Coturnix japonica: one gene and its partners. Each later gene encodes a partner of the first gene's protein in a complex. Links are inferred from orthologs where the notes say so. Each region holds a gene or a part of one and is shown in the gene's direction. Other genes may lie near its edges. The genes, in order: NF2, LATS2 and LATS1.

Evidence for each region.
Region 2: the proteins of NF2 (region 1) and LATS2 are in contact, whole or in part, in a crystal structure (PDB 4ZRI), measured with the Homo sapiens proteins. The link is inferred for Coturnix japonica from reciprocal best matches to the Homo sapiens genes NF2 and LATS2. Residues at the interface, in NP_000259.1 of Homo sapiens: Pro135, Glu136, Ala137, Val139, Leu140, Tyr144, Asn175, Leu176, Tyr177, Gln178, Met179, Trp184, Arg187, Trp191, Glu206, Lys209, Ile210; in NP_055387.2 of Homo sapiens: Tyr73, Ala76, Leu77, Glu79, Ile80, Arg81, Ser83, Leu84, Leu85, Phe87, Ala88, Asn89.
Region 3: the proteins of NF2 (region 1) and LATS1 are in contact, whole or in part, in a crystal structure (PDB 7LWH), measured with the Homo sapiens proteins. The link is inferred for Coturnix japonica from reciprocal best matches to the Homo sapiens genes NF2 and LATS1. Residues at the interface, in NP_000259.1 of Homo sapiens: Pro135, Glu136, Ala137, Val139, Leu140, Tyr144, Asn175, Leu176, Tyr177, Gln178, Met179, Met183, Trp184, Arg187, Trp191, Glu206, Ile210, Asp213, Leu214, Glu215; in NP_004681.1 of Homo sapiens: Pro69, Lys70, Phe71, Gly72, His74, Ala77, Leu78, Glu80, Ile81, Arg82, Ser84, Leu85, Phe88, Ala89, Asn90.

Annotation. Positions count from the first base shown.
Region 1 is NC_029530.1:9,885,778-9,889,426, reverse strand, and holds part of NF2 (merlin), read left to right. Parts: intron 1-159; coding exon 160-377; intron 378-1,053; coding exon 1,054-1,159; intron 1,160-3,649. UniProt on the Homo sapiens protein: Probable regulator of the Hippo/SWH (Sav/Wts/Hpo) signaling pathway, a signaling pathway that plays a pivotal role in tumor suppression by restricting proliferation and promoting apoptosis.
Region 2 is NC_029516.1:159,812,369-159,816,017, forward strand, and holds part of LATS2 (serine/threonine-protein kinase LATS2), read left to right. Parts: intron 1-1,909; 5' UTR 1,910-2,151; coding exon 2,152-2,490; intron 2,491-3,649. UniProt on the Homo sapiens protein: Negative regulator of YAP1 in the Hippo signaling pathway that plays a pivotal role in organ size control and tumor suppression by restricting proliferation and promoting apoptosis.
Region 3 is NC_029518.1:43,379,003-43,382,651, reverse strand, and holds part of LATS1 (serine/threonine-protein kinase LATS1), read left to right. Parts: intron 1-446; coding exon 447-1,975; intron 1,976-3,649. UniProt on the Homo sapiens protein: Negative regulator of YAP1 in the Hippo signaling pathway that plays a pivotal role in organ size control and tumor suppression by restricting proliferation and promoting apoptosis.

The DNA of each region.
Region 1 (3,649 bases):
TTTTGGCTGCAGGAAGCTGCAGGCTTTCATGGAAGAGAGGGGGACTTGGTGAGCCACGATGGTCATGTGGAATGTTCAGTTTGGGGCCTTGCTCCAGGCTTGAGAGCACATTCGAGGGGACATTGTGTGCTTGCTGACTTAACATGTGTTTATTCTCAGATGAGGTCTGAAGAGACAGCTGATTTGCTGGCTGAGAAGGCTCAGATCACGGAGGAGGAGGCAAAGCTCCTGGCTCAGAAAGCAGCAGAGGCTGAGCAAGAGATGCAGCGAATCAAAGCCACGGCCATTCGGACGGAGGAGGAGAAGCGACTGATGGAACAGAAGGTGCTAGAAGCTGAGATGTTGGCACTGAAAATGGCGGAGGAGTCAGAGAGGAGGTCAGAGGGTACAACCTTGCAGCTGTCTCTGCTTTGCTTTCCAGCCCCCTTCTGACTTAGCAAAACTGTGGCTCACCTTGAGGTAGTTCAGAGTTTGCAGTGAGTCCTTGGCCTCCCCTGCATGCACAACAGCAACTGACCCCAAGGCTCAGCTGATTTCTCTCTGTTTTGCTGTTTGCCACAACTAGGCTATCCCTGCATAGGAAATGGTACAGGTAGAACAGTGGTGGCCCTGATTTTTCTTTGATCAGACGTCCCTTCTTTGAAGCCCTTTTATTGGAAGGGTTGATGCTATGGTGAAAGGAACAGGGAAAGGGGACATCACCTAGAGGGCCCTGGTGCTCTGCCTTTCACGCCCTGACAGCAACAGCTGAAGGGAGCTCAACTTATGGGTCTTTTCCTCTCCTGGCATTCTGATGTGCTGCTCCACCCCTTAGCTTTGCTTACTGCTGCTCATGCAGAGTTCGTGCCAGAGCTGTCCTTCTATGGCGTGGATTTTTGTGCTAGTTAGTGTCCTACATGTCAGAGGTTCCAGTGTTTCCCTTACCCAAATGATTTCTTTGTTTAGGCCTTGCTAAGGGATAACTCTCTACCTGTTTTACACCTATGGTGTAATCATGTTTATCAGCCTCCAAACTTGGACCTAACATTGCCTTTTGCTGTTCTTCCTTGGTAGGGCAAAGGAGGCTGATCAGCTAAAGCAGGACCTTCAGGAGGCTCGAGAGTCTGAGCGGAGAGCAAAGCAGAAGCTTTTGGAAATCACCAGCAAGTCATCCTACACGGTAAGAATCATCAGTATTGTCATTGCTAGTTTCCAGACAGTAACTGGCATCCTCCGTAGTCTAGAGCAGTCTTGTGTCTCTATCCCATCAGTAGGGGGGTATGAATCATCTCACTGTATTGCTTAGTAGCTGTTCTGTAATACTTAGGAGCACTTGCCCTTTTCGTCTAAGTAACTTGTCCACCAGAACGCTTTGCTCACCTTTTTCCCCCTATCTATCTTGCTTTATTCTACAAAGGCCAGAGAGCTGCCGATGGAATTAAATGCAACAAACTGTAAAGTAATCTAAGAAACGTGCCGTGCTTTGCATGTGGAGTTGACCAGCTCTGTAAGAGCTTTTAAAATAGGATTAAATACAGAACTGAGGATGGTCTGATACTTGTTAGGAAGAATGAATATTGTTCCAAATCTGTGAATTCATTCTCAGGCATAAACTGGTCTCTGTGCATCTATGTGCTGAAAAACCAACTTCATTGAAGGGGGAGTGTTCTGTAATTGCCCATTAAGAGGATTTCACACCTTCCTCTGAAGCATCTGGTCCTGATTGCTGCCAGGGACTGAAACACCAGACTAAAAGACCACTGCTCCCATTCTGTCTGGCAGTTCCTTTCCTCAGCTTCCCTAATTGTGCTGCAGGACCTGCAGATGCCATCAGGCGCTCCTTCCCCACAGCTTGCACCTGCCATGACTGCCTTTGCTGCTGCACTTTGTCCAGAGAGGTGAAGGGGGAAGAACTTGACATCTTCAGGAATAAACTCAACAGACATACGTGGGAGTTACTGACCTGTCTAGTACTGAAGCTTTAATTTGTACGTGTTAGCTCCTTTCCTCCCTCTCCCCTCAAAACTTCTGGGAAGCAGATTGAAGAGGGTTAGTGATGAAGAAGCTTTTCATCCAGATTCTCTGAAGATCCCTGCAGAAACATTCAGAAGCGTTTAAGAAACGGCAACGATGGAAAATAGTCGGGTGTTTTTAGCCTCAGGGCCTTCAGTCAAGTGCTGTAAGGCTTGATGCTTTCTAAACCTTATCTTTGGAGAGCTCCTTATGTTGCTGCAGGGTTCTGGGATCCACCAGTTTGTGAATTCTGAGCTTAATTTACTCACAGGGTGGAGCATACTTGTTGGAAACCTACTGAATGGCTACATCAGCCCAGTGCTGATGTCTGGGCAGAGCTCTCACATCCAGGTTCCCTCACGTGGCTGTGCTCATCCTTAGTCAAACGAGCAGAACCACAGCTAGTGAGCTCTTGTGCATAAATCCCTGTGCTGCCCGCACTAGCGATCAGCAGCGTGACTGTATTCCTGCCTGTGGAGTTAAAGCCTAATTACAGGAGGTAGTGCAGGATTGCATGGAGCTCAGCTCCACCCCTCCAGCTGCATCTGTCCTAGAGGCAATCTGTGCAGAGCTGCCGCCTCCAGTCACAAAGTGCTGTATCCTCCTTTCCTCAAAGAGCTGTGGCTTGCCTTTTTCTCTCCCCATTTAGATGACAGAGTCCCCTCTCATAGCTCTTCTTGCCCCCTCCCAGCCATGGGAGCAGCACTGCATCACACAGACGCAATGTCTGTTGCTTTTCCAAGGCCAGCTGGCTGTCTTATGTCTGTTAGACTTGTATCCATGTGACAGTAACTTGCTGGGCCCTTGTGTGTGAAGCACCCCATCTCCATCCCTTGTTACACCTGCCTCATGTTTCTCTTCCTTTGTAGCGTCTCTCACTCTGCCACGTGAGTGCTTTGGGACAGATGAGTGAGATGTGCTGAAATGCTTCTCCTGCGCAGGATTGGGCTGAAGGGACTGTGCTGGGCAGGCGCAGTAGCAGAGAGGGAATAAACCCAAAGTGGCCTGAGGGATGAAGGGTTTTGAAAGCTGCTGCTGGGAGGCTGGTGTCCCTCAGGTGAATGGCAGCTCTGCCAAACGGTACCAGATTCCAGCTCTTCTCTTCCTTAATGAGGGTGTAACGCTGAGCTTGTTATTTTTCTTTCTCCCAGAGTTTGTGCTGTAGTCCCCTGGCATGGAGTGCAAGCCAGAACTTCCCTCCTGGGAAACAAGCAAAAGAGGAAGGGAGGAGAGGATGGATGTGTTACAGAAATGACAAGAAGCAGTTAAAATTTTTCTTTGGTAATTTTCCAGTTCCTTGTACTGGCTTTTTAGAACTTGTTCAGGTGTCTTTTTAGACCTTGAAGCCAAAACTGCTTTTGTGATGGTGGTGGTGGATAATGCACAGGAAAGAAAAAACAAACCTGAGTTTCAGGCCGCCAATGCTGGGAGAACAATTCATTCCTTACTGACTTGGCAGTGCCTCCTGCCTCCTTTGCTGCCATTCAGGTACCAGTCACAGCAAGACTAAAGGCAGTCATCTCTTCTGTGATTCTTTGGGATATGAAGGGCCTGCCCAAGTCTTCAGGTAGCAAAGTGAAGGCAGTGGCAGCAGCAGCAGGAGCTTTCCCTGTGGGGAAAGTCTTGTGGCATGGCTTGCTCTGTGCTTCCCTCATAT
Region 2 (3,649 bases), on another chromosome or scaffold:
ACCAGGTTGGACAGGGCCCTGGGCAACCTATTAGTAAAAGGTGTATGTTTGGTGGCCCTGCCAGGCAGGGGGTTGGAACTACATGATCCTTGAGGAGGTCCCTTCCAACCCGGGTTCATTCTGTGATCTGTGACTTGGCTGTAATTTGCCCTGTACTCAGTTCTTGGTTTAGTGGAGAACTTGACTCTCTTGACAGTAGCCCACGTGCCAGTGAGGAGGTGATGATGGGCTTCAAGGGGTATGTGCGGACTCCTGGCTTTCAGGTAGTTATCTGTTTGCTTGTCTGTGAGGGGTGGTAGTAAGTTGTATAGAAATGGTTGTTTTGTTGGAAACGCTGTAGCTGTCACAGGAACAGTTATTGCAGTGGGTGGAGTGTATGACTAGAATGCTTTCTGGAGAAGCTTTTCATGATGTATTAATAATAGTAATACTGCAGGCTGTGAAGCCCCTTTATAATGAGGGCTGAGAAAGAAGGTCCGCTTTGCTTCTGAGTGACCAACGATAGCAGAACTTCACCAGCTTCTGTTTGTGGCTTCAAAACAACTGGACCCGAAATTCTGAGCTTTCTCAATGGAGCAGCAGGGTAAAGTCACTGTGCAGATGTTGGTACTGGTGGCAGAAACAAACTTGTAGCATCAGTGCTATGTGATGCTTCTTTTTAATCCTTTTTCTGAAATGCATCTGTATGTAATGTTTGGCATGTAACAGTCATGGAATCATAGAATTACCCAGGTTGGAAAAAAAGACCTTGAAGATCATCAAAGTCCAACCCAGCTAACCAGTACCCTAACTCTAACAACCCTACACTAAATCATATCCCTGAGCACCACATCCAAACGGCTCTTAAACACAACCAGGGATGGCGATTCAACCACCTCCCTGGGGAGCCTATTCCAGTACCTAACTACCCTTTCTGTAAAGAAGTTCTTCCTAATATCCAACCTAAACTTGCCCTGGCGCAACTTGAGGCCGTTTCCCCTCGTCCTGTCACTTGTCAATGCCACGAAGACTCAGTAAATAAAGAATTCTGATTACCTCTCAGTGCTGTAAAGGTGTCACAAGTTGCAGAGTAGCTCAGTTCTGCTCCATAGTTGTATAGCTGACCTCTGCTGTGTATCATAAGAGGGCTGTGAGGCTGTATCACAGCTGTGTTTTAATCTTATGTGAGCGGTCTGAACTTCTTCAGCTTTTTGTGCTGTTACTGAGTAGCTCCTTCCCTGTCTTCTTGTCAGGCACAGTTAAAGTATGCATCACCCTTTTGATTCCCTCGCCCTTGCACCCTTTAATAATAGCAATAATACAAAGAAATAAAATAAACCCCCTGGAACTGGGAGAGGGGCAATTCTTACCTTCAACATTGGCAAGAACGTTCATGTGGAATGGCAAAATATCTTGTCACTTTGTTATTAAAATGCTAGAAGTTGCTATGGTTAGAATCATCAATATTTCCATTATAAGGCTTTTTCATAAACTCTTGAAACTGAGCTCAGCTTGTGTAAAACAAACAAAATCTGAAGTGGGGGAAAAACGTTTCATGAGCATGCTCTTCCCTAATTATGAAACAGGATAGGCTTGTCCAGGGTTTGGTTATGCAATGGGGTGGGAAACCTGCCACAATTAGGTAGTGTATGAAATTCTCAAGCTTTGTAGTTTCTGAGGTTTTTATTTTCATTTATTTTCAAAACAAGGCCTTGAAGAAAAATGCTTTTTTTGATGATGTCGAGAAAGCCTTTTGAAATCCTATTCTTGAAAACAGATAAAGTGATAATCATCATTAATGCATTAAGCTGCAACAGCTTAATAAGGTTAAACTGATTCACTTTCACTTGATTAATTGTCATGTTGTCCCTTTGGAGGTGTTTACAATATCAACTTAATTACGCGTGCTTTCTGTTTGCTTTTGTTTCAGACGCCGTCGGTTTGTGAAATGATGACTCCAAGGATTTTCTGTAGGAGATGTGAAGACTGTGAGCTGAAGTAAAATGCTGGCAGGAACCTCTTGAGGATTTTGCCATTTTTCTTTTTCCCTTTGAAGGATTTATGTTTACAAGAAATTGATACCGTGAAGCGACACTTCTTAGAAATAAAGTAGCTAAAAAAAAACTACCAAGAATAAAGCTGTATTTATGCTCAGAGAAAACTGGATTAACAATGAGGCCAAAGACTTTTCCTGCTACAACGTATTCTGGAAACAGCAGACAAAGGTTACAAGAGATTCGAGAAGGTTTAAAGCAGCCATCCAAATCTTCAGGTCAGGGGCTGCCTATTGGACCAGGCAGTGAAACTTCTCTGGACCCTAAGATTTTAGTAGGGAAGGATGCTGCAAGGCAGCAGCAGATGAGACAAACGGCAAAGTTTGGACCTTATCAGAAAGCTCTGCGAGAAATTAGGTATTCTTTGCTACCTTTTGCTAATGAGTCGAGCAATACAGCAGCTGTTGAAGTGAATAGGCAGATGCTCCAGGAGCTGGTGAATGCGGGTTGTGATCAGGTACGTATGAGTTGGAAGAGAGGGGAATTGTCACTGTGATCAAAATAAGTTTATGCTTGGTCCTGAGGTAACAATGTTGATAATGGTTATCAAGTTTACTGGTTGTAAAAAATGCACCAACTCTTTTGGCAGTCGTATTGCTGTGTGAATAGCTGAGCAGATGAACTTGCTGTTGAGAGGCATGTCTAGTGTGAGGTTAATTCGTGTTATGAAGATGGTTGTGGTGACCTCTAGGACTTCTGTAATTTCTTCATTTGATGTATAAGGCTTAACAGGGCAGCATGTTTTTGTTGGGTTTTTTTTTTTTTTCCCTTCTCAATACTGTAGCAAGTTCTATCTGTGAGTATTAGGGTGGAATTCTGTCTAATATGTCTGAAAGGAACCTATATCCAGGAGGGGATTAAACTCTTCGAAAGGGCTGACAATAGCAGGACAAGGGGAAAAGGATTTAAGTTGAAAGAGGGAAGATTTAGGTTGGATGTCAGGGGAAAATTCTTTACTAGGAGAGTGGTTAGGCCCTGGAACAGGCTGCCCAGGGAGGTTGTGGATGCCTCGTCCTTGGAGGTGTTCAAGACCAGGTTGGACGGGGCCCTGGGCAACCTGATCTAGTAATTGTGGAAGTTTGGTGGCCCTGCGAGGCAGGGGGGTTGGAACTACATGATTCTTGAGGTCCCTTCCAACCCGGGTCATTCTGTGATTCTGTGATTCTATATGTCTAAACTCCACTTGCTGTCAGAAGCAAATGAAAAGAACGATGTATGTATTCTTTGAAGAAGCTTGCTTGCTGTTTGCAAGGAACAAGTGTAATTGGATGCATGCATTTTCTTCCTTACCTTCTTTGCTTCCACCAAGGGAGGGTAGTCCTGTCTCAGATAAGGAATTCAGCACAGAGATGCTTGTTTTTATCATCCTGAGATGGGTGTTGGAATACAAGAGCTGCTCTGAAAGTAGTGCCTCTTATTTTGTTACCTGGGTCTACAACATCAGAGACAGATGTTGGTGGGATGGTAGTAGGAGTTGAACCTTCCCACCAATATTCCATTGCATTTTGTTGCTGTGCAACAGGTGGCAGCAGAGGGGCAGTCTGACACAATGGTGTCTGACACGGAAGTGCAAAAGTGTGCCATTGAATTCCTCCTCCTGGGGAAAAAATGGCACC
Region 3 (3,649 bases), on another chromosome or scaffold:
GGGGGTTGGAACTACATGATCCCTGAGGTCCCTTCCAACCCGGGTCATTCTGTGATTCTGTGTATTATATCCGAGGAATGATACTCAGATCTCAGTCATTTTTACCCCTAGTTGTTGTGATACTTGTATTTTTTTCTGTCATGTGCCATTTAGGAATCAGTGAACTTTTGTTGACTTAAAGTTGAATGCTCAACTTTATTCAACAGTCGACTCTGAAGATGTTTTAAATCCACAGTATAGGTGTGAGGGGAAAAAATGGTAAATCAAGAGCAGCAACATACAGCATTTATTCTCAGCCTGTGATGCAGAACTAGTTGGTGCTTGTCTGAAGCAGCTAGCTAAATGCTATTACTGAGCTATAATTTTCATTATTACTCGCAAAGTTATCATAGTTAGCATGTTCTTTTTCTGAACTGATAGAAATGCTCTTTTATCTTTTGTAAAAGCAGGGACTGTGCAGCAGTCAGTTAACCGCAAGCAGAGCTGGAAGGGTTCTAAGGAATCCTTAGTTCCTCAGAGGCACGGCCCTTCCCTGGCGGATGGAGTAGTTTATCGCTCGGAAAGTCCCAGCTCTCAGCCTGATGTAGGAAGGCCGCTATCTGGATCTGGCATTGCAGCGTTTGCTCAGGCTCACCCTGGCAATGGACAAAGAGTGAACCCCCCGCCACTCCCCCAGATCAGGAGCGTCACGCCACCTCCTCCACCTCCTCGAGGGCAGACACCCCCTCCCAGAGGAACCACGCCACCACCGCCTTCCTGGGAACCGAACGCTCAGACAAAGCGTTACTCTGGGAACATGGAATATGTCATCACCCGTATTTCTCCAGTGCCACCAGGTGCATGGCAGGACAGTTATCCACCTCCGCCGATGAATCCGCCACCCATGAATTCTTCCACTCAGGGTCAGAGAGCCATGAGTGCTGTCCCCATTGGAAGGCAACCAATAATCATGCAGAGTTCTGCCAACAGCAAGTTTAGCTTTCCCTCAGGAAGGGCTGGAATGCAAAATGGTAATTGTCCAGCAGACTTCATAGTTCACCAGAACGTTGTGTCTGGGAACTCAGTCAGTCGCCAGCCACTTCCATACCCCATGAACTCAGCTAATAGGCAGAGTCCGACGGCACTACAGATGCAGGCAGGGGGATCTGCTCCCCCTTCAGCATACACCAATGGGAATCTTCCTTCAACAATGTTGGTGCCAAATAGAAATAGTCACAACATGGAACTTTATAATACGAATGTAGCTGGAATACCTGCATCCTGGTCACAGCCTCCACCCGTGCAGCCACAGTCATCACCTGGCAATGGGCATGAAATCCCTGCATGGCAACCCAACCTTCCAGCACGGTCAAATTCTTTCAACAACCATCATGGAAATAGACAGGGTCACGCTAGCAGCTCTCAACCTTCAGCCACTACGGTAACTGCTATCACGCCAGCTCCTATTCAGCAGCCAGTGAAAAGTATGCGTGTGTTAAAGCCAGAGCTGCAGACTGCATTAGCACCAACTCACCCTTCCTGGATGCCACAACCAGTACAAACCATTCCGCCCATTCCCTTCTCCGAGGGTCCATCTTCAAACATGGCTGTTATGCCACCTGTGGCAGAGGCTCCAAATTACCAGGGTCCACCCCCACCTTATCCCAAACACTTATTACACCAGAGTCCATCTGTCCATCCTTACGAGACTGGACCCAAGCTTAACAAAGAGGAACCACCCATTTCATCTAAGGAGGAAGAGAATGAAAAGAATTATGAATGTGTTGATTCAGCAGACAAAGAAAAGAAACAAATTACAACATCGCCCGTTCCTGTTAGAAAAAATAAGAAAGATGAAGAACGGCGAGAGTCTCGTATTCAAAGCTACTCCCCTCAGGCTTTTAAGTTCTTCATGGAGCAGCATGTGGAGAATATACTTAAGTCACATCAGCAGCGTTTACATCGGAAGAAACAACTGGAGAATGAAATGATGCGGGTAAACCCTTTCTCATAAGTTTTTGACTAGAATTGTCTTTATGTTAGGACACGTAGTACGGATGCACAGAACACGGTGGTACAGCATGGTGCTGAGGGCTGGCTTTAGTTTTTCGTATTTCAGATGTGGCAGTTTCTTTATTACTTTGCTTACATACTTCATTGTCTTCTTAGAAATCAGTTTAGTGACATATGGTTTCTGTGTGTCTAAACACAGCTCATAATTGGTAAAGCAGAAGCAGCAGAATTTCTGTATGAACTGAGATTTAACTACTTGGCTTATCGCTTATTTTATGGATTCTGTTTAATCCTGATTTTTTTTGAGTGAGCTCTGTGCAATGTTTTAATGGTTTGTATATACGTGTATAAGCAAACATTGCAGGGGCGAGTTGGTTCGCTTTTTATATAATCACTTGAACAGTGGTATCTTTTACAGCTTGTTCCCACTAAGATGGTTTTTGACATTCCTACCTTAAAAAAAGAAAAAACATAAAAAAGTGTATATTTCTAAAATATCTTCTATAATTCAGACTCTAAGGGTGTCTGTTCAAACAAGGTGTAACTCAGTGGGGTGATAACAAACACACACCTGCAAGAATATATAGAAGCAATTTCTTTGCACTTACTTGAAGTCAGTTCTGTTCCCGAGATTTCGTGTTCTGTGAAACTAAAAGTGTTAAAGAAGCAGGTGATGTGTGTATGTGTAATTTCAGAAGTGAAAATCATGAGAAGTAGATTATCGAGACCCGCAGAAATGAAGACTTGAGATGCATTTTATATATTCTTAGCAGCTGTAGTTGAAAATTGGACGTAATTGTGATGTGCCTTTTACAAATGTACTTGGCTAATGCTTTCTTGAAATGCTGCTTTATTTTATTGAAGTGTTTACTCTTTGAAAGTTCCTTCTGTAAGCTATAGTGTTTTATGTTTGGTTAATCATAAGACATGTGAATGTTAGCAACATTTCCTGAAGTTCTTTCTAGATCTTTATTCTTAGTTTTCTCTCTTTCCTTTTCACTTCCACTAACAGCTGATTTAAACTGTTAAGGTGTGGGAAGCTTTCCTGAACTCTGTAGCCTCCATCCCTGTGTAGGCAAGTAAGATTTTTGGAGCAACAGTATTTATTATTAAAGAGTAGCATGATCCCTTTTTAGAGGTCTTTGCATGCAATCCTGCATCAAAATTAAGCATGTATTTTATTTTGACTATTTTTGAGTACTGAAAAGTAAGATTATAACTCATGTTGATTTGCAAACTTCACTTTCCCTCCTTCCTGTGTTGTTCCGTAGTATCAGAATCATGTCTTACTTAAGCGAAGACACTGATTGTAAGCTTTCTTGAATGTTTTCTGTGTACATTTAAAGCACATAAGTGAATGTCTTTTTTTTTTTATGTGACATATTTATAATTTTGATCAATATTTATAATATTGATGCTAGATTAAAAGTTGGGATGTTTGATTGCAGACTGAAGCAGGGGAAATGCAGTATTACACTGCGGCAAGACTCTCCTCTTTCATCAGGTTAAAGGACAGAATTTCCACAATAGTGAAGTATATTTGAGGTCTTTGTGAGAAGGGGAAAGGGTAGTTAGTTCACTGCATATTGTTAGGATCACAGAATGACCCGGGTTGGAAAGGACCTCAAGGATCATGTAGTCCCAACCCCCCTGCCTG